Linked DNA regions of Caenorhabditis elegans. The protein of the gene in region 3 purifies or fractionates together with the protein of the main gene of each other region. This does not show direct contact. Each region holds a gene or a part of one and is shown on either strand. Other genes may lie near its edges. The genes, in order: chd-7, dkc-1, tag-191 and nog-1.

Region 1 (8,263 bases), on a different chromosome or scaffold from region 3:
GCTCGGGACGTTGTTTCTCACGAATCTTAGCAGGATCAATAACTTGACGCTCCCTCCACAGCTCAACTTTATCCGCCGGAATCATCTCAATTGGCTCCCATGTCACCTCTTCGTAACCCAAACTTTTCCATTTAATAAGCACAAATTCTTGTCCATCGTCTTCAGTAATGAGATCAACAACTCGGTCAACAATCACGAAATCCGAATTAAAATCCTCATCATCTTCAATATACGACGACATCTTTTTCACTTTGAATCTTTTGATTTTCGCTTCAACTCGCTTATCAATTTCCAAAAGTTCTGCGGCAGTTTTCCATTCACAATGAACATATGATCGTCCTTTCCATTTAATAAGAAATTGCTCAACTTCTTCCTCTTCAATCTCGTTGGTTTCAGATTCAGTCTTTGATTTTGAAGATTCTCCGTTTCCAACGCTTTCTCCATTTTCTCCATTTTCCTTTGGCTCTTTTTTGACTTTCTCTTCAGATTTTTCCTCACCGTTCTCTTCTGATCCTTCTGCAACCTCTGTTTCTGGCACCTTCTTCTCCACTTTACCCATTCTCATATTCAAAATCTTCTCGACGACCATTGCATTTGGATCCGGAGCTGGAGTATCGATTTTCATGAGAAACTCGTCATCTTCATCATCACTTTTTGCTCCTTCTACACCTGCTTCATCAGTGGGATCAGCCTTCTTTTTACCACCTCCACCCTTCTTCTTTCCTCGTCCACGTTGTGGATAGAAATCATCATCATCAGAATCGTCAACACTCTTCTTCTTTCGTGACTTTGCAACTACTACAGCAGGCCTTCGATATGACTTTTTCTTTGATGATGTTGCGCCCATCAACGGAGTAGCTGGAGTTGAAGGTTCGGTGAATCCGTCATTCGTCTCACTTGGAGCTTCACTCATATCTTTTGTGATCGTTGATGTGTCATCATCTTCTTCTTCCTTGATGTCGTCTTTTGATGATTTTGCAGAGGATGCTTCATCATCGTCTTCATCCTGAACTTCTTCTTCTTCGCCAAAAGTCTCTTCAACTCCTGCAAAGTTCTCAATATCGTCAGCTTTCACTGGAGTAGATTGGTCAACTGGTGAACTATCATCCATTGGCTCCGGCTCTTCGACGGGCTCTTCAGCGGGCTCTTCGGCGGGCTCTTCAATTGTTCCAACAGATGGGATAGGATATTCCTCAGTATCTGCTGGTTCTTGTTGAGCTTCAACTTCCACGGGCTCGGGATCTACTGACACTTGTGGCTCTTCTTTCTCAATGTTTTCGTAATCATTCTGCTCAACTTGATCCAAAGGAGTTCCATTACTATAACCCGCTTCAGCACCTTCTTCATTCTTTACAAAATTATCAATTCCTGTATCATCTTCTAATAGATTCGAAGTTGATTGTTGATCCTCTTTAAATTCCACTTCATCTTTCAGTTCTTCAACTGGAATCGTTTCTTGAGAATACTCATACTTTGGTTCATCCTCTTCTATTATTGGTTCTTCTTTCGGAACGTCCTCTAGAATTTCCTGTTGATCACTAATTGCCTGAAGTTCTTGATCGTTTTGAGAAGACTGTGGCATTATCGGATCAGATACAGATGGAGATGGTATGGCTTCAGGAGCAACAGTAGGCTCTTGATATCCTGACGACGATGGAAAATCAGGAAACTCCGGGTAGGCGTTCTGCTGTTGAGATGATGTCGATGGAGTAGAAGTTGCCGGAATTTGGGCTTGACTCGGTGGTGCTGATTGATCCACTGATTGTGATGGTTCCATTGAAGCCGGCGCCGTACTAACACCGATACCGTATCCGGATGGGTGCTGCTGCTGTTGTTGGTTGGGTTGGGTTTGATGTTGGGATGGATGTTGCTGAGGATGATGTTGCATTGGGACCGAAGCAGGCTGTTGATGCTGGTGAGGATGTTGAGGTTGTTGCTGCTGTTGAGGATATCCAGACATCTGAAATATTCAAAAATTTAAGAATTAATTAGGAATTACAAGCTTACGTTCTGCTGATGTTGAGCATGCTGCTGCTGCTGCTGTTGATACTGTGCATACATCGGATGCTGCTGTTGTTGCTGAGCATACGGATTTCCAGAACCATTCTCCATTCCATTATACTGTTGCTGATACGGCGATGGTTTCTCTGGTTCCATCTTAACCTGTGGAGCATTTGGAACCGGTGATTCTTGCATAGACGGAGTTGGCTCAGGCGGCACAATAGATTCCTTGCTTTCAGTGGAGCTGGCTCCAGATCCCGCACCTCCGTAACCATCGTGGTAGACAGATATCAGTGTCCTCGTCTTATCAGCGGTTATATGAACTTGACTTCCAGGTTGATTCACATGAACTGGCACTGAGTTCGGATTCGATGGAATTTGATTCGATTGGGAAGACGTTGGTGGTGGTGGTCCTTGATGATGTCCGCCAGCAGATGCAGCTGCTGCGGCCGCCGCTGCAGCAGCAGCAGCTTGTTGTTGTTGTTGCTGCTGTTGCCACTGCACGTGTTGAAGCTGTTGGCTGTACCGATAATGATCACTTTGGAACTGAGCAAGTTTATGTTGCAGCTGTTGAACTTCTGCGTCAGCCGACGCACTTCGTTGCATATTGTAGAGTTGTTGAATTCGTGCCTTGCATTCTGCAGATGATTTTTCCACTTGAGCAATGACGTTCTGAAAAATAAGTGATTTAGTTTAGTTTTTATTTTTAAAATTTGAACCACAAACACATATTACGGGAACCCGAAATTCTGAGAATGCGTAATGCGCAACATATTTGACGCGCAGAATATCTCGTAGCGAAAACTACAGTAATTGTGTAAATGACTACTGTAGCTCTTATATCGATTTATGGGCTCGACTTTCGAAACGAGTATTCTATCGAGTAGCTACATACCATTTTCCTTCGCTTTTTCGTATTTTCTCATTTTTTGCTAATTTAAAAAATCGAGCCCTGTAAATCTACAGTATTCATTTAAATAATCACTGTAGTTTTCGCTACGAGATATTTTGCACATCAATTCAAAAAGACGAAAAATCCATTAAAATTTGAAATTCAAATATATTTTGAATGTTTGAAAAACATCGAATTTTGTTGGTTTTAGGCAATAATATTTTGACCGTATTGTAGGAAATTTCTTGCAAAATAGTCTAAAGAATTATACGTGAAACCTACAAAATTCAATTTTTCTCAAGTATCAAGATGAATTTGAATTTGTTTTTCAGAAGAGGCTTTATTTTGACTTTTCATTGTTTGTGTTTGCAATTTCTCGCATTTTCATTCCTACTACCAACTCACCATCAAATCATTGGTTCCAACTCTTCCCCATTGTTCCTGTTGTGCCATTTGCATTGATTGAGGCGCCGTCACAGGTCCACCTCCTTGCTGTTGCTGCTGTTGTGAAGGTGGTGGTCCACCGTAACCCTGATAACCATCCCAATATCCTGGTGGTGCCTGTTGTTGACTGTGTGGTGGATATTGATGCCTCATCTGTGGAGGAGGTCCCGCTTGTGGAGCATACGGTGATTGTTGGGAGGGTGGTGGTGGATATCCAGTGGATGCCTGTGGTGCATAACCATATGGACCATATCCGGGTGGCCCTTGGGCTTGTTGTTGGCCGGCTTGTTGTTGTTGAGCTCGTTGTTGATGGTACATTTGTTGATAGTTCTGAGGTGCTTGTGGCGGTGGTGGATATTGTCCTTGCGGTGGTGGTCCATTTGTTACGGGTCCTGGCCGGTACCCTTGTTGTGATGGACCATTGGATGATGGATAGTGTGGTGGTGGAACGCCGCCGTACATCGCCATTTGGTTCTGAAAATACTTTGAGAGGAGTCAGTGATATTCTTTAGATATTTAAATAAAATATTCATAATTTTAAAGGTCGAGTAGAGTCGTTTTGGGATTTTGTTTCAATTTGAAACTTTCAAATAATGGAAAATAGTCTGAAATGATCGAATATTTATATTTAAATAATTTAAATTTTAAAATTTTCGAGACAATTTAAAAAATTTTAACTTTTTAATATGTAGTCTATTATTTAAAACAAAATCCCAAAACTGCTCTTTTCTATCAATAAAGTTTTTAGGCAGTTTATTTCCAAGATTTTCCAAATAAACTACTTACCGGATATCCACCCTGTCTCATCATTGGATTATTCGACATTGCCGCCATCGACGCCATCGGATCCATCTGTGCAGCTGCTGCCGCCGCTGCAGCCGCCGCCGCTTCTGCCTGAGCCTTTTTTGATTTTCCACGTGCCTTTTTTGCAGGTGGTGGCTGAGCTGGCTGTGGTGGTACTTGTTGTGGTGGTGGAGCCATGTGCTGCATTTGATGTTGTTGCTGCATCATCATCATTTGATGATGCTGTTGTTGTTGTTCATATGGATTCATCGGTTGACCTGGATACCGTTGAGGAACGCCCTGCTGAGATTGTTGAGATTGTTGTGGTGGCGGGCCGCCCATCATTGTGTAATCTGCCATTTGGGACATTTGTGGAACGTAGTCGTCGCCTGCAAAAATTTTGAATAATTCCCAAAACTAGAATTCGATATTTTTTTTATTAAAATGATGATTAATTTTTCTTATGCAACAAAAAATGTAATATTACCTAGACTCTAAATTGTATGATCTTAAAAAAGGTATGCGCCTTCAAAGAGTACTGTAGTTGCAAACTCTCGTTGCTGCGGAATTTTCCTCGATTTTCAGTTTTTCTCACGATTTGTTAAAATTTATGTGATTTATTTTGGTTTTTTAGTAAATATATCAACTTTTAACGAGAAACTTTGAAGAATTCGTAGAAACGAAATTTTTGAGTTACAGTAATCTTTAAAGGCACATACACGTTTGTACTTAATAAAAAAAAAGTCGTGTCGAGACCCTAAACAGTAAAAATCGTTACATAAATGTTTCGATTGTAAAAATGCTAGAAATAGTTGCAAGACCCTTTGCACCTCTAAAGTGAATTACATTTTTCAAGAATCTACAATACTATAAAAAATTTCGAACTTAAATAAATTCAATTTTCAAATGTTTCCAAAAAGACTCACCTTCATCCATTTTGTGTGTTTGGTTATGTGGTTATAATGAGATTAACTTGTACAAAAAGAAAGCGAAAATATATAATTTAAAAAATCCAATTCTTCACAATGCGTCAGCTGTTTCTTTTTGAATTTGTATATTAATTCAGCAGCCTATCATCTGAAAATTAAAATAAATTAATAAATTTGAAATGTTGAGGACCGATTATTTCACTATTGATAGGAAAAAACAAAAGAAAAAAGAAAGATGGTAGTTCGAGATATAAAAGAAAAATATTATTTGATTTTTAGAAATTTAGCAGCACTTGGTCTCGACACGACTATTTTTTTAGATAAATACAAAAATATGTGCGCCTTTAAAGAGTATTGTAGTTTCAAAAACATAATTTAAATACATTTTTCATAGTTTTTCTTATGATTTCTTAAAAATGTTTGGGTTGTAATAAATACATGTTTATCGAAAAGAAAAAGAAATATCGATAAAAATTCCGATATTGAAGTTACAGTACTCTTTAAAGGAGCATTTTTCCAAAGAAAAATTGTCGTGTCGAGACCGGGTACCGTATTTTTGAAATGCGCTTCGTTGCGAACAAAAAATATTGAACTTTTGAATCGGGCTACAAGGTTTTCAGAATAAATAATATATTATGGAATCGAATGGAGACATAAATGGAAGGAAGTATCTAGAACCAAAAGACGCGAATTTTTTTTGCAAAAAAGATGTTATCGTCAACAGTCATCATCAACCAAAAAAGGCCAGAAAAAACCCAAAGAAAGGAAGTTTTTTTGTTCTTCAAAAAAAAACGAATCTTCGTTTTCAATTTGATGGTGAGTGTATGTGTGTGTGTAGTGCGTATGCAATGGCAATGAGAAAAAAAAACGGGGGGACGAATGAGTAGAGTGAGAGTTCATGGGAATAGTATTATAGTATACGAGATGCAGACATGGCAAGACGAAAAGGAATAAGAAGAAGAAGAACACAAGAAACGGACACACAGACCAGGACACTTCTCTCGACTCTCTTACTCTCTCCTTCTCACACATTGCCCACTGTCTAATGTCTCTCTCCGAGCTTGAGCACTCTCTCATCATCTCTTGCTGTTTGGTCGTCTCTTCTTCTCTCTCAACTCTTCTAATCGATTCTAGCACACACACAGAGAAAGAGGGTTAGATGTAGAAAGTAGAGGTGCTATGTGTGTGGGGTGGACCCCCTCTTGGTCGCTGCTGGGACATTTGTGTCCCCTTCCCGGTATGTTGTTGATGATGATGATGATGAGGATGGAGGACGCCGGACGGATCGAGTCGAGGAGGAGATGGAGGACGGCGGTGGTGGTGGTGGTTGACCAAGATGAAATTGAAGATGATGATGAAGGTTTTGGTTTTTGGAGATGAGTAGAAGGAGAAAAACGAGGATAAGTGTTTTTTTTCACATACAATTCATTCTTTTATCGAAGAAACGAAGCGAACAAGTGATTAACTGCGTCTCGATTAACCAGACTGACCATTCTAAAGATGAAACCATGGTTACTGTAAGCCCTACTGTCAAGTTTTTGTTCTGGAAAATTTTTTTTTTCGAAAATAAATATAGTTTTAAACAAATTCAGTAACTGGAATATCTAAATACAATAGACTTTCAAAATCAGGAAAACGGAAGAAAAAGAAACAGAAGATTTCGTGCTGAGACCTAACATTTGGGCATTCACAATAATTGATGTATTTTCATTTTAAAAAATTCATTTCCCCCTCAAACATTTTTTTACAAATTTGTTGAACCCAAAAACTCTTAAAAACTACTAAATATCTTTCAAATTATCGAGAAAACTTTCGATCAATCTTGAAGCAAAAACAGATAAAACCAACATAAACTGCAGACCTGATAATGAGAAAACCCAATTGGCCAGCCACATGACATCAAACAACAGATGAATTCTACGTCACAAACTTTCATATTCATCAGTAGACGAAAAATGAATCAGTTCATTTAGCTCTAGATATTTATTTGATCAGCGGACTCGACTCGCTAGCTAAAATGAAACATCGCAGTAGTACAGATTTTCAGAATTTTTTTTTCCGAATTCTACGGAAGTAATGGAAAACATAGGAACTTCCTAATCACACAAGATGATACAACGCCAAAGTTGGCATTTTGCCAAGTTGGCCAGTAGAGACTCTGTGCGAGAGAAAAAGAGAGAACGTTGGCAATTTGCCAAGCTGTTCAAATGGACGGAAAGGACGCGCCGACGACATTGGCCCCCAGAAAATGGTGAAGCCGTCGAGACAGGGACCGATTTATTTACTCTTACGAAGTACCGCATATTTTAATCAGGAAATTCCAGTCAAAAGAAAAGTAGCGGAAAATTTGAAATTTTAAGGGCGGAAGATATTGTCTAGAACCTGGTTTTAGGCTCTCCAATTACGGTTTGATCTACAGAAAAATCGGAATTTTTAATTCAGAAAAATGTGATGTCATCTAAATTCCCACAATTCTGGTAGATCAAACCGAAAGGGAGAACTCTGACACTACTGGTCAAGTACATTTCAGTTCGGCATATGGAATTCTCCATATACAGATCCCCTGAACATGAGTTTGATAAATAATAATGATATCAGAAAAAAAGTCGTTATCCAAATCCGAAAATCCCACAAAATACCAATAGGAAAAATATGATTTAAAAAAGAAAAAAGGAAGAAGCATGTGCAACTTGGTTTTTGCTGTGTTGTCTATCGGTGAGTGTTATTGGCCAACAACCCTTTCCCCTCTCTACACCACAAAAACGCGCACAATCTCTTTCTGTCCGTCTCTCTACTCTCCAATAGTCTATCATCTGCTCTTCTCAATTTCACCTGTTCTCTGATCATGTTCTGACCACTACTCTGCGTCGTCGTCTCTTCCACCTCCTCCTTCCTTCCATTTCTACTAACCAATACTACTATTACGAGAGAGAGAGAGAGAGGGAGAGAGAGAGCGTGCTGCTGCTGCTGATGCTTGCCTTGCGCAGACCTCTTTTTCTGTGTGAGCGGTGGAGTGTGCGCAAAGAAGGAACTCATAAAACACTCACACGTTGTTCCCCCCGTTTGGTCCTCCCAATTCAACCACCCAGAGGTGCGCCCCCAGACGTTTTGGTTATGAGCGGCCAAAGGTGTGTATGTGTGTGTGTTTGAGAGTGAGCGCAGTGTGAGCGTCGTCTGTGTGTGTTCTGTTTAAATGAGAAAAAGAGCGGTTTTT
Region 2 (7,210 bases), on a different chromosome or scaffold from region 3:
TTTAAAATTTTTTAGTCGAACATAAAATATAAAATAAATCATGGAGATTGAGAGTGATGAGCCAACCATTTCTTCAATTCATTCGCACAACGATCAAACAGCAAATGTACAATCCTTCTTCTACCCAAGCCAGCACTTTGAATTGTAGACACCGGTTGGGTATGCAAATTATTTTTAAGTTAAGAAATTAATTGGCATATGAAATGTATAAAATGGTAAATTTAGGTGGGATGGTTTTGTGAGATTTGAAAACAAGGATTTTGAAAGGTTAAAGTGTTTAAAGATCATCGTCGTCATCTGGAAGATCAGCCTTGGCGGCGTTGTCCAGATCCTTTTCGTATTCGGCAATCATGGCTGGGTCCATTTGAACCTGGAAATTAAAATATTGCTTATGAAAGAACATGGATTTAAAAATACCTCTGGAGGAGCCAAAGCTGGCATTGCGACAAACTCGAGGTTTGGATCTCCGAGCAGCTTTCTGGCGAGCCAGAGGAATGGCTTTTCGAAGTTATAGTTCGACTTTGCGGAGATGTCGTAGTATTGGAGGTTCTTCTTTCGGTGGAAGGTGATGGTCTTGGCCTTCACTTTACGGTCCTTGACGTCGACCTGAAATTTGTAATTGAATATATTGGCCAGTTTCAGCTAGTGATTACCTTATTTCCGCAGAGAACAATTGGAATGTTTTCACATACTCTGGCCAAATCGCGATGCCAGTTCGGGACATTCTTGTAGGTGACACGAGCGGTAACATCGAACATGATAATGGCGCATTGTCCTGGAAATTGGGCATTTCAGAAGTTATAATTTCGAATTTTAACATACCTTGGATGTAGTATCCGTCACGAAGACCACCAAATTTCTCCTGTCCGGCGGTGTCCCAAACGTTGAAACGAATTTGTCCGCGATTGGTGTGGAAGACAAGTGGGTGAACTTCGACTCCGAGAGTGGCTGAAAACAATTATTGAACTGGGAGAAACAAATTCCTGAATTACTTACCAACATACTTCTTCTCGAACTCTCCAGTCAAGTGACGTTTAACGAAGGTAGTCTTTCCGGTTCCTCCATCTCCGACAAGGACAAGCTTGAAAGTTGGGATGCCGTCTCCACCAGACATGACTGAAATGAGGAGATGAGGAGAATAAAATACGAAGGAAAAAGATTGTCAAGAGGAAAATAGCACGAAACTTTTCGAAAATGCGAATTATTGCGAAATTCTACGTATTACCGAAGCTTCAGTTGAAAATCACGAAGCGGTGGATAAATATTTCAAAAACAAGAATGTTCGGATAATGTGTATTTAGAATTGAGCAAAAAAGTTTTAGAAGAGACGTGAAGCTGAGCAGAGAGATTATCTCGTGATCAGAGCTTGCTCATGGAGCAAAATCAGAGAGAACTCGAAAATTACAGTGAACCAACTGAGGAAACAACGCAAATGCATCAAAATGAATGAAAAAACCGAAAAAAGATGACAAAACTTGGCGCCAGGGACAAGAAAAGTATTCGAAAATGGCGCAACAAGCCAGATTTGCGCGCCAAAATGAACAAAATTCGAAAATGTTTTTGCGTAGAACCCCGTGTGTGTTGAGGCATAGGGGCACACACGCAGCCTGTGTCTCTTTCGTCTGGCACACTGCCAATGGGGGTTTCTTCTCTCGTTTTTCAAAAAATCGATAGTTTTCTGGCAGGTTTTCTGCTTCTTGACACTTTCCACGAGCTTATGAGGCATATTTGGAGTTCATTAGAACCTTATTAATCTTTAAACTCTTGTTAATCGCTTCAGAACTGTTGGATTTTGTCAATAATGTTATTTTTTCAGCGAAGATCTCATCATGGGCAAGAAGGATAAGCGTTCCAAGCTTGAGGGAGACGATCTAGCTGTTAGTTTTTAATTTTCAAGCCATTTATTAAATATTGAGTACATTTTCATTATTTCAGGAGGCTCAACAGAAGGGATCATTCCAACTTCCATCCTCGAACGAAACCGCCAAGCTCGATGCTTCCCAGTGGCCACTTTTGCTCAAGGTAGTTGAGTGATCTCATTTAAAAATTAAATTATTATTTCAGAATTACGACAAATTGAATGTGCGCACCAATCACTACACACCACACGTCGAGGGAGTATCACCATTAAAGCGTGACATCAAGAACTACATTTCGTCTGGATTCTTCAATCTTGACAAACCATCGAACCCATCTTCTCACGAAGTCGTGTCCTGGATCAAGAGAATTCTTCGTTGCGAGAAGACCGGACACAGTGGAACACTCGATCCAAAAGTATCGGGATGTCTGATCGTTTGTATCGACCGTACCACTCGTTTGGCCAAGTCGCAGCAAGGAGCTGGAAAGGAATACATCTGCATCTTCAAGCTCCACGAGGAAGTTGAGGATGATCGCAAGGTGAAGCAAGCCCTCGAGAAGCTCACCGGAGCCCTCTTCCAACGCCCACCACTGATCTCAGCTGTCAAGCGTCAGCTTCGTATTCGTACCGTTTACGAGAACAAGTTCATCGAGTATGATCCAGCTCAACAGATGGGAATTTTCAAGTAAGAATCCTTATAATAAATCTAATTTCTAGTTTTCATTTAATTTCAGCTGCATCTGCGAGTCGGGAACCTACGTTCGTACAATTTGTGTGCATCTCGGTCTCATCCTCGGATGCGGAGGTCAAATGCAAGAGCTTCGCAGAAACAGATCCGGAATCTGCGATGAAAACGAGAATATGGTCACAATGCACGACGTTCTCGATGCTCAGTATCTCCTAGACACCCAGAAAGACGAGAGCTACATGAGACACATCGTTCGTCCACTTGAGGCTCTTCTCACCCAGCACAAGAGAGTTGTTGTCAAGGACAGTTGCATCAACGCGATCTGCTACGGAGCCAAGATCCTTATTCCCGGAATTCTTCGTTACGACGATGACATCGAGGTTGGCAAGGAGATCGTCATCATGTCGACGAAGGGAGAAGCCATCTGCATCGCTATTGCTCAGATGAACACATCAACGATCGCTTCAGTCGATCACGGAGTCGTTGCCAAGTCGAAGCGTGTCATTATGGAGCGTGATGTGTACGGAAGAAAGTGGGGACTTGGACCGGTTGCATCCAAGAAGAAGCAAATGGTCAAGGACGGACTTCTAGACAAATTCGGAAAACCAAATGACACTACTCCAAAATCGTGGGCCAAGGAGTACGTTCAAACTTCGACGAAGAAAGAAGTCAAGAAAGAGGAGACGCCAGACGAGGAAGAGGAGGAGGCACCGAAGAAGAAATCCAAAAAGTCCAAGAAGCAAGAGTCGAGTGATAGTGATAGCGATTAAGCTCATTTTTATGTTTTTTCTTTTTTAAATTACCTCTGTTGACTATTTACTTGTTGTTCAAAAATCTTTTTGTTGTTATTCATTCTAAACATCGTTTTCCTTGTTGTACCAATTTTGTTGAACATTTGAACTTTATATAAATCGGATTTTCGAAAGAAAAAACGTGTAGAGATCAAATAACATAATTTAGGAGTTTCCAGGCAGTGTCGACAACGATCGGACGTCGAAAAAATTATTTTTTTTTCTTTAAAAAGAACATTTAGATTTTTAAATGAGGAAAACCATTCTTTTAGCAAAGAAAACAATTCATTCGAAAAATAAATTGACGTGGCCGACGTGAATTTACGAGGCCCCACCAAAACAGGATGCAGGGGGGGACCTATTCGCAACCACCGCACACGTTTTTTCTTTTGAAAAAATGCAACAATATCATGGAAAAAACGTGCGAGGCTTGCGAAAAAAGTGTGCGGTGGTTGCGAAATAGGCCCCGAAATAAACAAATTATAACTTAAATTAGTTTGTGAAGTCGGTTTCTCTCCGACACACGCGTCACATAAAAATGTGTATTTGGCGTATTTTGTCTTCATTGGCAAAGCGAGAAGAACAAGACGATCAGCAGCACAAGGATGAGGAGAAGGAACGCCGGCGGTTGGCTTATGGAATTGCCGCGAATCCGGTACGTTTTATTATCGATTTTTTTGCAACGTGGCCTAGAAAAAGCGAGAGCTCGGCCAAGATATTTGAAGGTGGCCGAGTTTTCGCATTTCGCGGCCACGACGTAAAAACGGAATTATTAGCATTGAAAGAGCATTGAAAAAACGCAGTTTTAAATTTCAGTATGTGGTAGAAGAGATCAAGACTCCCAATGGAAACGTCACAAAAGTGATGGAGAAACGACGATCCGCGGTGGCCCCGCCCATCACACCAGCCCTCGGAGCAGGCTCGACCAACGGACCATACGAGAGTCGGACCAAGACCGCTCAAAAGGAAGAAGCAATGAGCTGTCACTTGCAAGTGATCGCCGACAATTGGGGACGTGGAAAGGAGCTCATTTCGCTCATCAATGATTTGGATCTCCCTGCGCCGCTGGTGACGACAGAGGAAAAGGCGCGGTACGCTTTGGAGCTCGTGCAACATCATGTGGAGAAAATGACCGAGCAGAAGGTTTTCCTGCACGGATATCTTGATGATGGACCGCCGTTCGTTTGCTCATCGGAGACCTTGGCGAAGGAGATCTTCAGCGATGCCCGTCTTGAGCTGAAGCTTGAATTGACGTCACCGGTGCACATGAAGATGGACGTGTTCTCTGTGAAATTGGAGCCACAACAGAAGACAGTGCTGCCAGAACCCACCAAGGAAACGCCGAAAACCGACGCTCTCCTCACACCGGGATCTCATGTAAGTTTAAAGGCACACGCTGGGTCTCACAACGATTTTTGTTTTCAGATTAAGGGAAGATCAATGGCGGCTGAATCGTCGAAGCGCAAAGCCCCGAAGCTGCCCACTGATTTGACGAACTTGGTCCCACTGCTCCAACAAGCTCAGATGCTTCCAGTCACCGAAAAGGCCACCAAGGAGAAGCTCCAGACTCCGGTTAGCTTAAATCTCATGATGTTTTTATCTAAAATTTCAAATTTTCAGAAGCAATCGCCAATGCCAGGCACCCCGGAAAATACGTCGCTCCCACCGTCCTTGATTAAGAAGAAGAAGAAGGAGTCGACATCGAAACAAGCAGCGCTGGAAGCGTTCGTCACTGTGGACAAGCCACACGATTGAAGTTCTTCTGAGCCCCCGACCGCCTCTCGTGATTTTCCCCCGTTTTTAGGTCCTTCATTTTTTTTATGGAGCCCCATTTCCCCTTTTCTATGCTCATCGTTCCCCACAATTGTATTATTTATGACCTCGTATAGTCCCATTCTTTTTTCAAACTCCCCGTCCGTATTTATTTCCCCACACAATTTCACTTCTATTACTTTTCTCTGACAATAAATTTTTTTTTGTCAAATTTTGTTTCTCTTTCGACATCAAGGAACTTTCAGTTTAATGATTTAGTGGGTTACTGTAGCTCTTAAAGGCGCACTCATTTTTTACGGGCGAAATTCAGGTGTTTCTAGGAAGTCTGTTTGCCATCATATTTTATCAGATTTTTTTGGCCGAAAAATTTGTTAGTCGATGCACCATGAGTTTTGTTCTCGATGTTCTTCATTTTTGTGGGATTTTCTGCAAATGCAGAAAATTTGTCGATGCACCATGAGCTTCTCAGTGTTTCTAACATATTTTTTATATATATTTCTAAAGAGATTTTTGTTGTACTATCCATTATATAAAGATAATGTTCAAACTTTATATAAATCGGATTTTCGAAAAAAAAAAGAAACAGCGGAGATCAAATAATTTATGAGTTTCTTGGGAACAAGAGACTGTCATCATCGTCTGGTACAGTGTCGACAACGATCGGACACGGTGGCGGGCTATTCGAATTGTCATCGAAAACGGAGAGGATGGCCGCCTCGTGAACTTCTCCATCGCCAGAGTCTTCAAGGAAATCTTGTGGGAAGCTGGAAAGCAGATCTCCATTGGCCGCCATGTGCATATCATTGAGCATATCGGCCGCGGTTTGCTGAAACTGAAGAATGGTTTAAGGAAGCACGTGGAGTCATACAGTCCCTTTTCGCTTTGATCTACGAAAAATGCGGGAGAAGAGACGCAGACATCTTATCTGATTTTGCATGGTTAAGAGCGTTCTGACGTCACATTTTTTCTGGGAAACAATTCCCGCATTTTTTGTAGATCAAACTGCAATGAGACTTTCTGACACCACATGAGGAAGGCTATTTTTTTGGCGAAAAAATCCCGAAATTTACAATTTCTGACATTTTTTTATTTACTAGAGATCGATTTTTAAACGAATTTCAGGAATCTCTTTTACAAATCTATGTTTTCCTTTTTCTTTGAAAAATCGATACATAGTGTTCTGTAGTTCTTAAAGGCGCGGCCTCAAAAAATATTTCGTTCGTGGTAAGACCCCTACCGCTTCAGTCATCTCAACGTCCTGCGATATTTTCGATTCCTTCCTACGTTGCAGCTCGTGTTCTTCGGTTGTCTGGAATTAAAATAAAAATTTTGAAAAAAATTTCAAAAATTGTTTTTTATTCTAAAATTAAAAATACATAATTTTGTTCCAAAAAAAGTTTCTAAACTACTTTTTCCTTAAGAAGAATACCTAAAAGAATTCAAAATTCGCAAAAAATTAGTTTTTTCTCAAAGATTTAAAAACAGTATAGTTTTAAAAAAATTTCTCAAAAAAAATGTTTTCCCAAAAAAAAATTTTTTTTAATTAAAAAAAACATTTTTCGAGAGGTGTTCAAATTTTGGACCTTGTGTAGAGACTGTTTTTTGGAAACATTTCAGAGAAAACTTTTTTTTTTCATTTTTCTCAAAATTTTCTCCTTCTAAAACTTCAAATTTTCTCACAAGAATTCGATGTCCCGGTGGCATTTCAGGCCACTCATCATCTGCATCATCTTCCTCAATCGAACGCTTCTTCTTTCCCTCGGAAATCCGTTTGTGTCGTCTCTCCATCTTTTTCTTCAGAAATTCGCCGTAAGCGTCGACGAACGGGCGGTATCTGTATGGAAAATAGAATGTCGAATGTAATGTGTCTCAAGAAATTTTTATTGATTCAATAATATTTAGTCTCGATTTCAGGGGTTAGCACAAAAATTGGTATAGATTTTACAAGATAATTCAAAAAGAATATGGGAATGAGATGAGAGAACATGATATTGAACACGTGTATCGGGGTGGGGAGTGATTAAAGCTCGTCGGCTTTTGGGTCTTGGATTGTTAGCTTGGATTCGTAGTATCTGATAACTTGGCTCGGATAGCTGAAAT
Region 3 (7,954 bases):
TTTTTTTGAAGTGAGTGTGTTGAAGTGAAGATTTTTTAAGGAAATCTGTAAGAAATCAGCTCATATCCTCAATCAGATTACATCTATACAATAACAGTAGATGTTTAAAAAGGATTTAGAAAATAAATCTCTAAACATCGGGAGTTTGAACACCTAGAATTATCAAAATAATGACACATTTGTTTCAACCATTTATTACTATTGTAAACAGATAAGATAAACCAACTCCCGAGCCGAAGAACTTTTTGAACTGTTCAGTTCTAGTTTTTGAATGAAAGTAATTTTCGATTAGTTTTAATCATGTTTATCTTGAGACTAATTAGTATGGACTCAACATCCTAAAATGACAAAAAATCGGATAACTAGTAAGTTTGATTTTTACGTTCCGGGAATTTTTTGCAGTATGTCTAGCAAATTCATCAGGTATAATTTTCATAGTTTGCTATAGACTTTATAAAATATATTAGAACTTGAATAAAATTGACTTTAAAAGTTGATAAAATTTGAAAGCATAAAAAAGTTTACGTATTCAAAACTCTTTACTCAAATGTGGCCCAGGCTCACTGGTATGAATAATACACGAAAAAAATCCATCGGGAATTAATTTCAAAGTATTTTTTGTTTTTATCAGACTTGACTGCGGTCAAACTACTGTAACAACCGTATTCTATACTTTTCTCTTTAAGTTGTTATATTTTTTTGTTAAAATTTTTCAAACCTATCAGTCAACCTACATATACATAAATCTGAAGTAAAGGCATTAAAAACCAGTATCACGCAACAAAAAATTCCAAAAATACCTTTTTTCTCCCACTAACTTCCTCTTTTCAAATCCTCTTCTTCCTCCCTTACATCACTTTTTCATAAAAGGCACCTGATCTGTTTGGAAATTGAAAATCCAGCTCAACCCGGTTGAGTCGTTTTCATCCAGCTGCAAATGTCTGGTGTCTCTTCATCTCTCACGCTATTTTCATATTCGTCTGTTCCTAACACACTCACACACACACAACTTGATATCAATGATTATATATCCGCAAAAAAGGAGAAAGACAGGCGACTCGAGCGCTTTTTGCTCACGCACACACACCTCTCTCTATCAATTTTTAGTTCCATTCTCTTTCAGTTCCATTTAATCGAAATAATCTTTACTTCCTCCCCCAATTGCTTTTCCAATTCTTTTTCCCTTATAAGACATCGGATCACACAGATTCTTGTGTGTCATTATTTGTCCAGTTGGAATTGAAATCTAGTAGAGCCCGGTGGGAACCTCCTGATGAGAAGTCTATTGTCCTCCTGTCGTCAATGAGAAGCACTTCGAAGAAGAAAAAGAAGAAAAAGTGACAGAAGAATATGGAATTGCAAGAGATTGAAGAAGAAGAAGGTATGTTTAGAAATGATTTTATTTCCGTTTGAGACCTTTCAAACGAGATTTTTCATAGTTGCATCTTCCTTTGAGTTGAACTGAACTTTTATGCTTCTATCTTGTTTTTGAACTCCGCATTAAAAAAAAAACTACCTTCAAAAATTACCTTGCAAACGCATATCTCGGTGTTCTTTTTAACCAAAAAAAAAATCAACTAACAATAAAAACATATTTTATCTCTATTTTTACAGATTTACATAAGTGGCATTAATAGGAAACTATCGTAAAATAATATAATATCGCAGAAAATCACAATTAGTAACACTAAACTTTTTTAGATCTCTCTAAATGTTCAGTCTATGTTTTGGTAAATTGCCAAATTTTCACAAAAAAACTTTAGTATTTTGTGATATTCTGGAAATGGGGCTTTTGCGAGCTCCTACAATTTTCAAATGGAAATAATGAAAGCACTATTAAAACATAAAATTTGCAGACCTTTTTTTGTTCCTCTAATAGTAAGTCTATTTCCAAATTTAAAAAAAATTATTTTAATTGCAAAAGATAACTATATCACAGAGTTGTTTTTAAAGCGTTAAGCATAACTATTTGTATGGCTTCAAAAGCTTGATCAAAGTCCTCGAGAGCAACTAAATATGACGTTATTCTTCACATTTTTTACTGGAAAAGTTTCTTTGAGCCAAGGTATCTAGTCAGGCCCTAGTACCTACTTGCCGCCTATTCGCCTGCGAATTTTGTAGGCTAGCAAGTAACTTGGCAGTACGCATCAATGAAGCAGGCCGTCTTGAAAGCAAGATCGAAAATAAAAGAAAATAAAGTAGGCAAAAGAGAAAGGCGAAGGCGTTTTTTACATTCTCCATTCATTCACTAAAAAATATTTCACCTACGTATTTCTTTTCCAATTTCTATTTTGTTCTCAATCTTTCTAGATTTTTTCCCGAATAACACCTGCAACAAAAAGTGCAGATTGAAAGAGTTGGCTCTTTTTCTTTTTCAGGTGTGCAACATCAAAAGCGAAAAGAGTCATTCCATTTTTCTTGCACTCATTCTCACCCACTTTCTCTTTTTCTTTCAACTTTTAATCCGTTTTTGGTTCCAGTTCACTCTTCTTCAGTTCAGTTCAGTTCAGACTTCTTCTCCTACAAAAATATGTGTTTATTCAATTCATCGAAAAATGGACCTACTGGTTTTGAATCGATGATTGAGAATTAAAGAGAAAACAAAGAATAATGACGTTCTGGGGAAAGTCTATGATGATTTTATAGGAAATTGTGAGAACGGTAAATTCTTGTCCTCTACCTCCCCTCTTCCCTCTTCTTCCGAAAATATTAATATCTTAATGCAAAACTTGTTTTTTTTTAAATTATTGTAACTCAAAAAAAACTGTTAAACATCTAAAAATTTATTCATAAGATCTTGAAGTTCTAGAATCCGAGCGGGTTTGTGTTGAAGTCATCGACGGTGAAAAAATCAACTTCCTCATTTGATGGTGGTGTGACGCCTGAAAACTGTTACAACTATAAGAATTAAAAAACAATATGTTACCTTTTCTGGGGACATTTCCAACTGCTGGAACACTTGGCTTCTTCTTTCTCTTTTCGGGCTCCCAATGATATGGGTCGGACCACTTGTACTTCGCGCTTTTCATGGCATCATTCAAGAGATTGAAAAGCTTTTCGTAGTCGGGGCGGTGATAGAATTGCGTGGCCCGAACGATCTTGACAAACTCCAGCATTTGAATTGGGCTTTTTGCAAAGAGATTCTGGTCGGCGACGTGTCGCTTCATTTCCCCGATTTCGACCTGGAAAACTTTTTAGTGACATTGAAGTGAGAGAGCATCGCGTTTCGAACCTTATCATCCAAATCAGACCAAGCCAGCTGGCATCTCAACTCCGCGAGCATGTAGATCAAAGCCCACAGGTCATCGACTCTCCCCTGCTCGAAACGATCGTGCATAGCTACCGAGCAATAACGGGAGGTGCCACGGAAGAGAGCCTTCTCACGTGGGCGACGCATCTTTTTTCCGTCCTCCTTATCCGTGATGTACTGGCGTGCCAAGCCAAAGTCCAGCACGATGAAGTAGCGTTCGTCAGGGGAGCCTTTCTAAAAACAGAGAATAAAGTTGTGGAAGTTTAGAGTAGGAGCTTACATTTCCCAATGCCACGTTGGCAGGCTTCAAGTCACGGTGGATAAACCCAATCTGAAAGTTAAATTGATATTCAGCCTCCACTGCTTCCACCTACATCATGAATCTGCTTGATGCCGAACAAAAGGCAAATCCCGATGCGCATTTGGGTAGACACGTTGAAAAATGGTCCGTGTTTCCTGAAATTCAGCAATTATTTTTCGATTTAATTTGAATTTTCTCTCACTTCATAAGTGATTCAAGGCTTTCGCCGAGAAGGGTCATCACCACGTACGAGTATCGATCCTTTTTTCCGCTTGCCATGCATTTTGCCACGTGGTTCTTAGACACAAGATGGGTGAGGATCTGGAACCACTACGTTAAAATCAAATAGGCAGTATATACTTAATAATGATAAGATAATGACATGATAAGATGTCAATTTTAGAGTCACTGACACCTAAAGGGTCAGATAAAAGCATCCTGAAACATTGCACTACTCCCAGCCTGTCAGAAGCTACTGGGAAAGCTACAGACGCCATTACGGCAGAGAAAACCTGCCGGAATATAGTATATTTTAATACTGATCCCAGCAGCCGACACTTCACGGCTCCTCATCAGCATGTCTCAACCAATATGTGTACGACTGCCTCATTATGGATCTTACAAGCAGCAGACACATCACGGATTTTAGCATTCTTCACAGCCAAGCGCACTATTGATTTTCTCTTGGGAAACGAATAGCCGACACTTCAAGGGTTTTCGCAATACTGTCCAATGCGGCAGTTATAAAGAGTTGAAAGTAAGCGACAGACACCTCACGGGGCAGAGACTATTTCCGGTAACCTTGCCATTTGAAAGCTCCCGACATCTCACAGCTGCTTCAAACCAGAAACTTCTTCGTCTACTAACCTGAACCTCCATTTTCAAAACATTTCCAGCGTTGGCATTCGAGTTGAACTCGACTTTCATCGCGTACTGCTTTGTCTTGTCTTCGATGTCCTCCACCTTGTACACAGATCCACAGCCGCCTTGACCCAGCTGTTGGATAACCTGAAAAACCGATAAATTTGCTTGCCACGAGGTAAAGTTTAACTTACTCGGTACTTTTTCCCAACAACCACTCCAATTTTCAATGTTTCGTCGCACACATCGTCTGGCATCTTGCTTGAATTGAAAAATATTTTTCGAGAAACTGCCGAAAATTTCACTTTTTCCGCCGTAAAGTGGAGGAAGAGCGAGTAATGATTAATAAATTTTGTGAAGCTACGAGAAACACAAAAAAAACAACTTTCGAAAAACGTCGGCTACGTGTGTTCAAAGCTAGGCAACGTGTGTTCAAGTGTAAAAAAATTTCACTTTAAATTTCGAAATTTGAAAATTAAATATTTCGACTTTTTTAAAAACCATGGCATGGGTTTCAGCAGTAACAAGCACGTCTCAAGTAATATTGCCTGTCTGCCTGCATACCTACCTATTTCGTCAGGTTTCTGTGAACAACCTTAAACGTAGGCACGGGAGGTGTTGCCTGCTCCTGTGAAACCAAAAATTAGACTTCACCTCGAGCCTGTCAATTGTCGGCCGCTAGGCATTTTTGAAGTCAAATAATTTTGAAAACTTTCAAAATCAACAAAAAATGTATCAGTAGACATACATGGGTGAACAAAAAAGTAAAATTGATAAGAACATCTGTAAATTGGGAACTGGTATTTTTATAATATGATAAGCATTTTTCTTTACAGAATGCTATTCACTGGTCTCTGAAAAAAATGTTTAAGTTAGGGCACTCGCATTAGGTAGGCACTTTAGGCTTAGGCACCTGCTTTCTTGTTTGCCTACCTTCTGTTTATGCATACTGATAGATCCCACTTCCCAAAGTTGCTCAAGTAGCTCAAGTTAAAGCTGCGAAATTCGAAGAATAAACTGACAGGTCTAGGTTTTTCTGTTAATTCGCCCGAATGTTTTTCCAACACAATTTCTGATATCTTTGACTAAATCTAAACTACTCTCATGCCCTCTAGTTGTTTGGGACTCAAGAATTCCCATTTCTCGAAATCAATTCAACTTTTTTCGTGGAAAATAACTAAAACTCGAACATGTGGAGGAGAGTTCTTAGAGTCGTAAACTTATTCCCTCATCTCTCCTACCACTTCTTTTCCATCCTACTTACATTTTTATAACCTACTTATTTTACTCTACATATGTAAGAAATAAGAACAAAAAAGCAACAGCAGAAATTGGTGCACCCAGAGAATACATTTAAATTGTCTAGAGATCTAGAGTGCCTCTTCTGAATATCCACTAGGTCCGTGTAATTATCTTCACTCTCTCACTCTCTGTATGTGCTTCTTCTGTGTTCTTTAATTTTAAATAATGCAAAGACCCCAGGGAATTGATCAAATTACTTTATAATTTAGTTGTATGATTATAAATCTTTTTTTTTTAATCAATAAAACTTTTTAAAATGGTCAAAAATTAGAAAAATTGTTGGCTCATTTGCACTGGTCTAAAAAAGGCCAAAAATTCGAATTTTATAATGTGAAATCTAACTTTCAACTGGAAATCTAGTATTGAACATTTTTTCAATTTTTGAAATTAAAATTTTAACTTTTCAAAAATATTTGTGCGTTTCCATTCTTGCTATAATTTTTAAACTTTTTTTCCCCAGTATTTTGCAAATTCTACAAAAAACTTTTCTACAGTCAAAAAAAATTATTACACGTTTTTCTTCATTGACACCTTTTCCCTCCAACCACACTCAATCATTAATATCTTCCGTAATGTTTTAATCATGAATACTCCGGAAAAACCTTGTCGCCCCAGCCGAAGACATGCTCGTGTGCAGCACCAAACAGAAAAAAAAACCAGAATTTTCGTCCAGTGGCGAGAAAAAATAAGAAATTGGAGCAGTTTTCGTGGGAGATTTTCTCTTGTGCTCTTCAGTCTTTCTTTATTCCAGCGAACAACATAGAAGCTTAATAGGAGGATTTATCTGATTATTACATTTTTTGGATTATTTTTCATTTTTTATGATATTTGTACAAGCAGAACAATATAAATATTGATTAGTATTTTTAATGGAGTTGCAACTCCTAAAAACGATTTTTTTACTTTTAGCTGTGTGTTAGTGTTTTGCTTTTTTTTTTGCAAAACTCACTTAACTGATAACTACTTTTTTGTATTAATAATTCAAGTATATTTGAAAATTCCTAAAACAAGCGCAGCCCATATCACGGTCTTGGTTTCGCAATGGTTTTACATAAACAATTTTTTGTGATTACCAACTTTTGCTTTACTGACATGTCTGGAAATAGCATACGATGACAAAATTTAGATAACTTTTAACTGGATGTTTCCCGGAACGAATAAAATTCGTGTTTCTTTTTCCTAAAATTTTAACTTGAAAGTGAAAGTGCCAGAACCTAGAAAAGCATTTATATTTTCAAAAACCCCTAGTTAAAATGCCCTATGGTCTAGTGAACGTATAAAAAAATAAAATTCTATCGCTCTACTCAAATTTCACACGAAATCCTCCGTCTGTTGACCCCACTTCCATCATCATTTATCCATCATCTTCTTACATTTTTCATCGTGGACTTTTTTTTTTGCCAAACGTCACTTTTTTTGGAAAATTCTATTTGGTTTTTATACTTTTAGTATTTACCTTTTTTTCACTTTTTTTTTGGTTTAGACTAGAATTTTGTTCGGTGAATTAGAGAGGACCACTTGAGAATCGTGAGAGAATTGAATTCGGTTTTCAGATTATATAGAGCTTGGTTTCCTAATTTAGCTAGTATTTTTTCAAATAATTCTGGTTTTCAAAACTTAAAAGAAATATATATCAGAAAAGAAAGAAATAGCTTAACTTTAACAAATAAATTTATAGTTTCATACATGACCAACTATTATAATTAAAAACTGTAACAATTTTTAGAGTTTTCAAAATTTTCAGTTTTCCAGCTTTGGTTCGAAAAAAATAGAAATTTTGGAATTTTTTAGAAATGTTTCAAGCTTTAACCTTTGTTAATACAAACAAGTAAAACATAATTCGTATATGAAATTTCAGCTAATTTTCTTTGGTAAAAAATCAAAATTTTCTAGAAATTGTTTCCTGTGATTTTTGCACATCTGGGCACTATAAGAACAAACTTATTTATTTGATTCTAGAGAAAATAATTTTTGAAAAAAAATCATTTTAGTTCGAAAAAAAAAGTGTTATCAATGAGTATGATTCCCATTTTATACACTTTTTCCCAGTAATTTTTTAAATGTCAATTATTCATTCCTATTTCCTCATAAACCTATGATAATCCCCACAAACTTCTTTTCAATTACATTCTATTTTCTTCCGAATAGCATGTTTGCTCACTGTTAATTTTATCAAACAGTCAACACAATTCGTAAAACACATAGCACGTGATATTTACGATCAAAAGGAAGAGTCTAGT
Region 4 (8,506 bases), on a different chromosome or scaffold from region 3:
AAATGGCAGCGTATATTAGTTTGACGGAAGAATGTCGATCCAAATATTTTGATTCTTTAGAAAAAATTATTGGTAAATAATTTTATAAATAATTTTAATTTCAGTAGATTGTGGGAAAAACTTTTGAATATTGATGAAAACTCCAAAGCAACAAAAGGAGCGCATCCTTTTGAACTTAGCAAACAATTGTAGCGGCGCAAAAATCACATAATCTCGCGTATTTATAATAAACATTTAAACGAGAATTCACTGTCATCATTTCAGCTTTGGAGCAAGATATGGCCGTTGAGCATACGCCGGAACACGTACGTATCACGGATTCTCAAGCAGTTGGACGACTTTCCACGTTTATTTTACCAGCAATTCCGACTGAAACTCGTCTTCGATTGATTCTCATTTTTATGTTGACTATCGGAAAGGATAAAGATGAACAATACTTCAATCGACTTCTACATCACACCGATATTCCTGAATCGGAATTTCAGATTATTAAGAGAATGCTCATTTGGAGAGATGTCAGAGTCTTTTTTAAAATTGTATTCATCTTCTTTTTTCAGAAAACTCAGAAATCTCAATTCCAACATCGCCGACCACCACCAGAAGACGAGAGGTTTATCGCGAGTCGTTGGGATCCGAAAATCAAAAATCTTATCGAAGAAATTTACGAAAGACGATTGGACGAGCGGGAGTTCAAAGTAGCTGGTAAGAAATCGACGTCTGACTTCCGGCCGGCAGCAAGTGCGAGATATGGAAGTGGATTGGCTGGAAAACCACGCGAAAAACGAAAAATTATCATTTTTGTCGTAGGTGAGGTGATGTTTCGTTGATATATTCTGATTGGAAAGCATTTTCAGGCGGAATCACATATTCTGAAATGAGAGTCGCCTACGAGTTGTCGAAAAAGACGAACACAACAGTAATCCTGGGATCAGACGAAATTCTAACGCCGTCGTCTTTCCTGGAGTCGTTACGAGATCGAAATACTGTAAATTGCTGAAAATACTGTATTAATGTCCCCGAATATCGCTTTGTTTAAATAATATTCACAAAAAAATCTCGTTTTTCCATGTATATGATGCCATTTTCTATTTATCTCAAATAAACCACAGTTTCTATGAAAACAAAAACCTTCATTCGTAAATTATTAAGTCTCGTTACGTGGAAGTTGTAAAATCTATTTAAATTGCCTTTTCTATTGCCGAACAATTTTTCCGCGCGCCTGATTTTCTTTAAACCTCAAATAATCTTCCATTTCCTGATGTTGAAGTCGTGGAGCTGACATTGACCATTTCTAAAACAATAGAAATTTATCTTGAGACAAAATTGATTTTTTTTTAGCTCACCCGAATTTCCATAGCACCGGTATAGGCACAATACGCACCAGTTGTCACAAGCAAGAAAAGTCCAGAAGCGTAAGCATGAGCTCGAATTTTAGATGGAATTCTCATTTTTACGGATATTATGAGAGAAGGGAATCGAGGTTGCGTCAAAAATGTAGAATCGTTAAGAATTTACTCGGGTACGGTATGCAACGGTGTTTGCAGACTAGCAGGCTCATACACTTTCACGCGCAATTGCACACTTTAGGGTCATACGACTTATTTTCTCCATCAAATTTTCGTCAATTTTCGAATGTTTTAATATTTATTTGTGATTTTAATTCGTATATTCTGATAATTCTAAATTAAAAACTTATTTATACGGTCACATTAACTTATCGGCGAGATTAATGTTGCAGAAATTGGCGTTTCTTCCAGTTTAGGCCTAGAGTTAATTTTAAACAAATTTGCACAGTTTTTGTAGCGTTATTCTTTTATCATCTGTGTTAACAATTTCAGACGTTCATATGGAATTGTAAGGAATTTCAATCTCCGGAGAGGGGTCCTTCTGACACGGGGTATCTTGTTTTGTTCAATGTATTTCTTAATCCCTAACCTTTCACTTGTCATTTTCAAAACTTTACAACATATTTCAGAATCAAACAAGGGTTACACACAGTCGTCATTGCTCAAAATGACGTCGATGTATAATTTCAAGCGAATTACATGTGTTCCCAATGCACAGGTTTGTTCTTGTTCTGATCATTGAGAAGTTATATTTTTCAGGAACTGAAAGATGTGGTTCTCTCAAAAACGCAACGCAAAACACCAACCGTCGTGCATCGCCAATATTCGATTGGAAGAATCCGTGCTTTTTACGCAAGAAAAATCAAGTTCCTACAGCAAACTCTGCATGACAAGCTCACGCAAATCATCACAGAGTTCCCGAAAATGGAGGAAATTCATCCATTCTACTCGGATCTTATGAACATTCTCTACGACCGTGATCACTACAAAATCGCTCTTGGACAAATGAACACAGCTCGTCATTTGATTGACGGAATCGCCCGTGAATACGTTCGTTTGATGAAGTACGCCGACTCGCTTTATCGTTGCAAAATGCTCAAAAGAGCCGCACTTGGACGTATGGTCAAGCTGCTAAAGCGACAAAAGTCCAGCTTTGAATACCTCGAGCAGGTCCGTCAGCATTTGTCTCGCCTTCCAAGTATCGATCCAGCTACTCGTACTCTCATTCTTTGCGGATTCCCAAATGTCGGAAAGTCTTCATTCATCAACAATGTGACACGTGCTGATGTTGAAGTTCAGCCATATGCTTTCACTACAAAGGCTCTTTATGTTGGACATCTTGACTATCGTTTCCTCAGATGGCAGGTAAGTATTAAGCGAATTTCTTTTGAACCTTGATAATAATTCACTTTTCAGGTTATCGATACCCCCGGAATCTTGGATCAGCCACTTGAGGACCGTAACACCATTGAAATGCAAGCAGTTACCGCATTGGCTCATCTGAAAGCATCAGTGCTCTTCATGATGGATGTTTCAGAACAATGTGATCGTAGTATTGAGGAACAACTTCATCTCTTCGAATCGATCCGTCCATTGTTCGCCAATAAACCAGTTCTTATTGGTTTGAACAAGGTTGACATCAGACATCGATCTGATTTGCCACCAGAGAAAGCTGCATTGTTGGATCAACTGGAGAAGGAAGGAATTCCAATTATTGAGACATCTACACTTACACAAGAAGGAGTTATGGGACTCAGAGATCGTGCTTGCGATGAACTTTTGGCCCAGCGTGTTGAAGCTAAAATTCAAGCCAAGAAGATCACAAATGTCGAGGATTGTGTGCTGAATCGCGTATTCGTCGCCTACCCGGCTCCACGTGACGAGAAAGTTCGTGCTCCATTTGTTCCACCAGGTTTGGCCGCAAAAAGAGCTCAGAAGAAATTGCAAGAAGCTCAAGAGCTCATGGAGACTGATGGAGATGAGTTCGCAGCAAAAATTCCACAAAAACCAGGCAAAATTGGAAAGGAAAAGATTGCAAAGGGTGGATCCCAATCCACCGATCTTGGAGATCTTCGTGATGAGAACACCCGTCGTTTGGAGAGAGAAATTGAGTTGGAAATGCAAGATGATTATATTCTGGATCTTAAGAAACATTATATGCTGAAGAATCCTGATGAGAAGTACGATATTGTTCCCGAAATCTGGGAAGGACACAATCTTGCTGACTTTGTTGACCCGGAAATCCAGTCAAAGCTTGAGAATCTGCTTCGCGAAGAGGAGCTCTTGGAGCAAGCCGGAGAGTATGAATCAGATTTGGATAGTGATGATGAGGAGACCAAGGAGAAGTTGAAGCTTGCATTGCAAATCCGAGAAAAAGAAAAACTGTTGACTTTGGATCATGCCGTTAACAAGAGAATTGCCGGAAGAATTGGTTCACGTATTCATGGTTCAAGAAAGAGAGATCGATCAATGTCTAGATTAGAGAATGAGCTCGGAGAGTTAGGTGTAGATGTTGACACGAAGAAAATGAAGAACTTGCAAGGACAATGTGCCAAACCACAACTTGGAAAGAAGGTTTGTGTAGAACCGAAATCTATAATTTCGGTTTCAAATTAACATAATTTTTCCAGATGAAAGTGGGTCGCTCGCGCAGTCTCAGCGCCGTCCGTCCGGCTCCACGTGATGAGTTGGCATTCCCAGACGAGGAAAAACGTGCACATGTCGACAAGTTGCGTACGAAAGCAATGCGTGGATTGCGCCGAGAAGCCAAGAAGGGAGAAGCCGATCGTCACGTATACGACCTCAAGCCAAAGCATTTGTTCTGTGGAAAACGTGGAAACGGAAAAACCGATTGGCGTTAAGAACATATATATCTTTTGTTCATTTTTTTTTTGTTATTTTTGTTTTGTTATTCTGTTCGTTTTTTTTCGTCTCCCTGCTTTTTATTCCTTCCAAAAACTGTATACCCATCCATCCATTTTTACCTTCTTCTCACTGCGTCAATCGGCTTCTCGCCCACATGAGTTTCCCGAATAAAATTCTTCCTGATATTTTTGTAGATTCTGAATTATTTTTTTTCTTCGATATTGCACATTTTTTAGCATTCCGTTGAATTTTTCGCTGTATTAGAAAAACTATTTTTTAATTAACTCTTCAGATGGGCAAAAAAAGAAAGATTACGGATGAAAAGGATGCTCAACACGTGCCAGCTGAGAAACGAGAGGTTAATATCACATTTTCAAAGAAACGTAGTTCTCAAACACAAATTAATTGCAGAAAGTAGAAAATTGGTTAAAGAAATCTACGGAAAAACCAACAAGTTCACAATCTGACGCTGAAAAGAAAAAGAAACGTCCATGGCGTAATAAGGTCCGTAAACTTGCCGCAAAAAAGGCAGCAGCTGACAAGAAATCTGAAAATCCAGAAGAACCTCCGCTGATTCTCGAACCAAAGAGTTCTTCGGATGAAAATACGAAAAAGAAGAGAAAACGGGGCCCAAAAAAGAAGAAGTTCAAGCCCGAAGTTGCTGGAAAAGCTGCTGAAACTGAAAATGATGACGTGGCAGCAGCTCCAGAAGAAGCAGATCCAATTGCAGAGGCTAAAAAGAGACTTGACGCGGGACGATTCAGATTTCTGAACGAAAAACTCTATACATGTACTGGTTCTGAAGCATTTGATTTCTTCAAGGAGGATCCGACGGCTTTTGATCTATATCACAAGGGATTTGCTGATCAGGTAAACATTAATTGGTATCTCAGTTTCACAACGAAGCCTTTAAAATGATATATGTGCCATTTGAAGGTGTTCCAAGAGTATATGTTAAAGGTGGAGTAGCGCCAGTGGGGAAATTGCTTTAAAACATGCAAACATATGGTACCACAATGACCGAATATCATGATAAAAAAATTCAAAAATTTTTTCTAAATTTTATATGATTTTTTGAAAATTGAAAAAATCTCAGTTTTTGCCTAATTCCTATTTGAATTACCGCCAAGTGGATTTGTTCGATGAAGCGCGCTTGCACGTTTTTAAATTTATTTATTTTGTTTTTTGTTGTTTTCCACCGATTTTTAATGTTTTCGGTGTATTTTTGCTCGAGTTTTAGAGAAAAAGTCAAAATAAATGAAAATTTTCGATTAAAAAGCACGCTTTTCTCTAAAGTTCGAGCATACACCGAAAAGAATACACCGAAAACATTAAAAATCGGTGAAAAATAACAAAAAATAAAATAAATAAATTTAAAAACGTGCAAGCGCGCTCCATCGAACAAATCCAATTGGCGGTAATTCAAATAGGAATTAGGCAAAAACAGATTTTTCAATTTTCAAAAAATCATATAAAAGTTAGAAATTTTTTTGAATTTTTTTATCATGATATTCGGTCATTGTGGCCCCATAGGCATGTTTTAAAGCAATTTCCCCACTGGCGCTACTCCACCTTTAATGCAAAATTTTAAACGGGAAAGCTATACTCTCAACCCCTAAAATGAGCGAGAAAACTTTGTCTTGTCAGTTGTGAACTCTCAAATTTTCAGGTAAAAAAATGGCCAAATCACCCACTCCGCGAGATTATCCGCTGGCTTCAATCCAAACCGGATCAACAATCAGTATTCGATTTGGGTTGTGGAGAGGCTAAAATTGCAGAAGCCGTTGGAGAAAAGCATAAGGTTCATATAATTCCCTGGAAAAATCACATTACATTTCTCATGTTTTTTAATAGATTCGCTCATTCGATTTGGTTGCAGTGAATGATCGTGTTGAGTCGTGCGATATGTCGAAACTTCCAGCTGAAGATTCATCAGCTGATATTGTTATTTATTGCCTATCACTGATGGGAACAAATCTTTATGATTTTATTCGAGAAGCTCGAAGAGTTCTTAAAATTGGGTAAACAAGCATTTCAATTTAAATATAAGCAGACACCGTAACCGAGAGTGCCTTTTTCGATTTATCGGTGTTTTTCAGGGAAAATCGAAAAATCAGAAAAATAAATAAATAAATACAACCATAAATTCGATTTTTGTCGGTGGTTTTTTGGGTGAGGTTCTCAGGATTCTTGGGTGAGGCTAGGAATTAAGTTGATGTCACGGGTGGCATTTTTCACTTTTTCGATGTTTTTCAGGAAACTAACATTTTTCGATTTTCCGGAAAATCAAATAATCAAATAAAAATGTTCAGAAATAGTCATAAAATACCATTTTTACCAAACTTTGCTTATATTGATGAGAAAAAACATAAAAATTCTTCTGTAAAGAAGAGAAAAAACCAAATTTTCAAACTAATTTTTGAAAAACAGAAAATTTATTTGCAAAAATCAATTTTTCAGAGGAATTCTCAAAATCGCAGAAGTCACATCTCGTTTCGTGTCAATCAAACAATTTTGCGAGGCGATCACAAAAATGGGATTCGAGCAATCACACCGTCGTGAGCTAACCGATTACTTCATGATGATGGAATTCAAGAAAGTCGAGAAAGTTGAGCAGAAAAGGCCATACGGACTCAAATTGAAGCCTTGTTTGTATAAGAAACGCTGATTTTTTGATTTTTTGTTGATTTTTTAAAAACGATGATCATTGGAAATGCGGTTTCCCGTTTTCAAAGATTTTTCATCAGTTTTCAATTGTTTTTGTTGTTGATTTTGAAATTGCTGCCTATTCTGTTCTGATTTTTCGAAAACTAAAAATCTTTGAAAAATGAATGTAAATTTATAATTCTATTTTCGACCATAAAATTCAGATTCTCTAAATATAATCACCGTCATCATGGGATAACTACAATCTGACAGAAGACAGAGACTCGAGAAAATGTGAATACAAATTGGCTGATATAGATTTTTTCAGAAGCAAGTAGTCAGTTTCTTTGATTTTAATATTATGATACCCAATTTTGCGACTTTCGATACGTAGGTCTCTAAACGATCGAAATTTTACAACTACAGTACCCCCGAATTTTTTTTTGCGATTTTTGTTTTCCAAAAATTCAAAGTCCAAGTTCTACAAATGTTGAAATATTAAGCAATTTTGGTGCAAGCCAGGAATGGGCGGCAACTGTCGTTCGGCAAATTCGATAATATTTGCCGGAAATTTTCCAATTCCGAGAAATTGCCGGTTTGCCGATTTGCCGGAAATTTTTGTTTTCGGCAAATTGCTGATTTGCCGTTTGTCGGATATCAGATTTGTCAGAAACGTTGAGAGCGATTGTTTAAAGACGGAAACTCTTAAACTGTACCTTTTAAAAATTTTTCATGTTTTCTTTAGATATTTCATATAATTTCTACACTTTTCAAAATAGATGTAGGAACATTCATAGGATGCGTACAATTTTGCCGATTAAAATTGAAGTTCTGAAATTACTTTTAAAAAATGTACATATTTTCGGCAATTTCCGGTTTCCGACAAATCGGCAATTTATCGGTTTGCCGAAATTTTTCAATTCCGGCGATTTGCCGCTTTGTCGATTTGCCGGAAATTTCAATTCCGGCAATTTGCCGGAAATTTCAATTCCGGAAATCTGCCGCTTTGTCAATTTGCCGGAAATTTCAATCCCGGCAATTTGCCGATTTGCCGGAAACTTCAATTCCGGCAATTTGCCGATTTGCCGGAAACTTCAATTCCGGCAGTTTGCCGATTTGCCGGAAAAAATTCTACATTTTTTATATTGCAATTTTGTTTGAATTATTCGTGTTAAAACATTGTAGGAGTCGAAACATACGACATTGCTTTGTATTTCCTCAAAAGCTCATATGTTTCAAAATTTTGTAAATTTGCCAAAACTTTTAGATTTTTCAACATTTCCGGTCAAAGTTTTTGGAGTGTTTTATTTTAATATTCGGTCGTTTTGGATCTTTATAAGTGTATTTAGGCAAAATCTCTACAGACGCTACTTCCACCTTTAATTATTGAAACAATTCAAAAGTGTCCCAAAAAATCACCGTCCAAATGCCTGCGTCTCTGCGCGGAGACACATCACAATTCAAATGATGTTTGTTTTTTTTTTGGCGCCAAAACTTCTAGAATTACCAAGTTAGCTATTTCAATTTAATATTTTGATTTATTATCAATTAATTGAACCAAGATTTCAGAATTTAAATTTTTTTTGTACTTTTTGGTTACCGTATTTCCTCTACAAATATATCCTGACATACTAATAATTTTCAAAGTT

What was found.
Region 1: the proteins of tag-191 (region 3) and chd-7 fractionate together in Caenorhabditis elegans (co-fractionation; one large-scale study listed by BioGRID). This does not show direct contact.
Region 2: the proteins of tag-191 (region 3) and dkc-1 fractionate together in Caenorhabditis elegans (co-fractionation; one large-scale study listed by BioGRID). This does not show direct contact.
Region 4: the proteins of tag-191 (region 3) and nog-1 fractionate together in Caenorhabditis elegans (co-fractionation; one large-scale study listed by BioGRID). This does not show direct contact.

What each region holds. Positions count from the first base shown.
Region 1 is NC_003279.8:4,693,379-4,701,641, forward strand, and holds the start of chd-7 (Chromodomain and Helicase Domain protein), read right to left. Parts: upstream 5,198-8,263; 5' UTR 5,057-5,197; coding exon 5,047-5,056; intron 4,510-5,046; coding exon 4,124-4,509; intron 3,812-4,123; coding exon 3,299-3,811; intron 2,674-3,298; coding exon 2,008-2,673; intron 1,961-2,007; coding exon 1-1,960.
Region 2 is NC_003281.10:10,746,613-10,753,822, forward strand, and holds dkc-1 (Putative H/ACA ribonucleoprotein complex subunit 4), read left to right. Parts: upstream 1-1,816; 5' UTR 1,817-1,829; coding exon 1,830-1,877; intron 1,878-1,935; coding exon 1,936-2,022; intron 2,023-2,064; coding exon 2,065-2,543; intron 2,544-2,592; coding exon 2,593-3,316; 3' UTR 3,317-3,468; downstream 3,469-7,210. Other genes in the region: GTP-binding nuclear protein ran-1, read right to left, coding at 278-370, 418-606, 654-775, 823-948, 997-1,114; enu-3.6 (ENhancer of Uncoordination), read left to right, coding at 3,876-3,992, 4,154-4,714, 4,763-4,909, 4,958-5,092; Chromobox protein homolog hpl-2, read right to left, coding at 5,712-5,942, 6,348-6,419, 6,791-6,944. UniProt on the Caenorhabditis elegans protein: Plays a central role in ribosomal RNA processing. Probable catalytic subunit of H/ACA small nucleolar ribonucleoprotein (H/ACA snoRNP) complex, which catalyzes pseudouridylation of rRNA.
Region 3 is NC_003283.11:14,531,641-14,539,594, forward strand, and holds tag-191 (Protein kinase domain-containing protein), read right to left. Parts: upstream 4,735-7,954; 5' UTR 4,670-4,734; coding exon 4,607-4,669; intron 4,560-4,606; coding exon 4,419-4,559; intron 3,873-4,418; coding exon 3,754-3,872; intron 3,707-3,753; coding exon 3,625-3,706; intron 3,582-3,624; coding exon 3,531-3,581; intron 3,485-3,530; coding exon 3,233-3,484; intron 3,183-3,232; coding exon 2,927-3,182; intron 2,883-2,926; coding exon 2,806-2,882; 3' UTR 2,765-2,805; downstream 1-2,764.
Region 4 is NC_003282.8:392,042-400,547, forward strand, and holds nog-1 (Nucleolar GTP-binding protein 1), read left to right. Parts: upstream 1-1,838; 5' UTR 1,839-1,897; intron 1,898-1,975; 5' UTR 1,976-2,013; coding exon 2,014-2,064; intron 2,065-2,105; coding exon 2,106-2,711; intron 2,712-2,762; coding exon 2,763-3,920; intron 3,921-3,976; coding exon 3,977-4,207; 3' UTR 4,208-4,379; intron 4,380-4,503; downstream 4,504-8,506. Other genes in the region: uncp-18 (Syntaxin-binding protein 1), read left to right, coding at 1-72, 265-515, 558-807, 855-997; T07A9.15 (Cytochrome c oxidase assembly protein COX14), read right to left, coding at 1,193-1,291, 1,344-1,448; rrp-8 (Ribosomal RNA-processing protein 8), read left to right, coding at 4,504-4,569, 4,623-5,081, 5,881-6,012, 6,066-6,232, 6,672-6,879. UniProt on the Caenorhabditis elegans protein: Involved in the biogenesis of the 60S ribosomal subunit. Has a role in regulating longevity, growth and brood size. May regulate fat storage via the insulin/IGF pathway.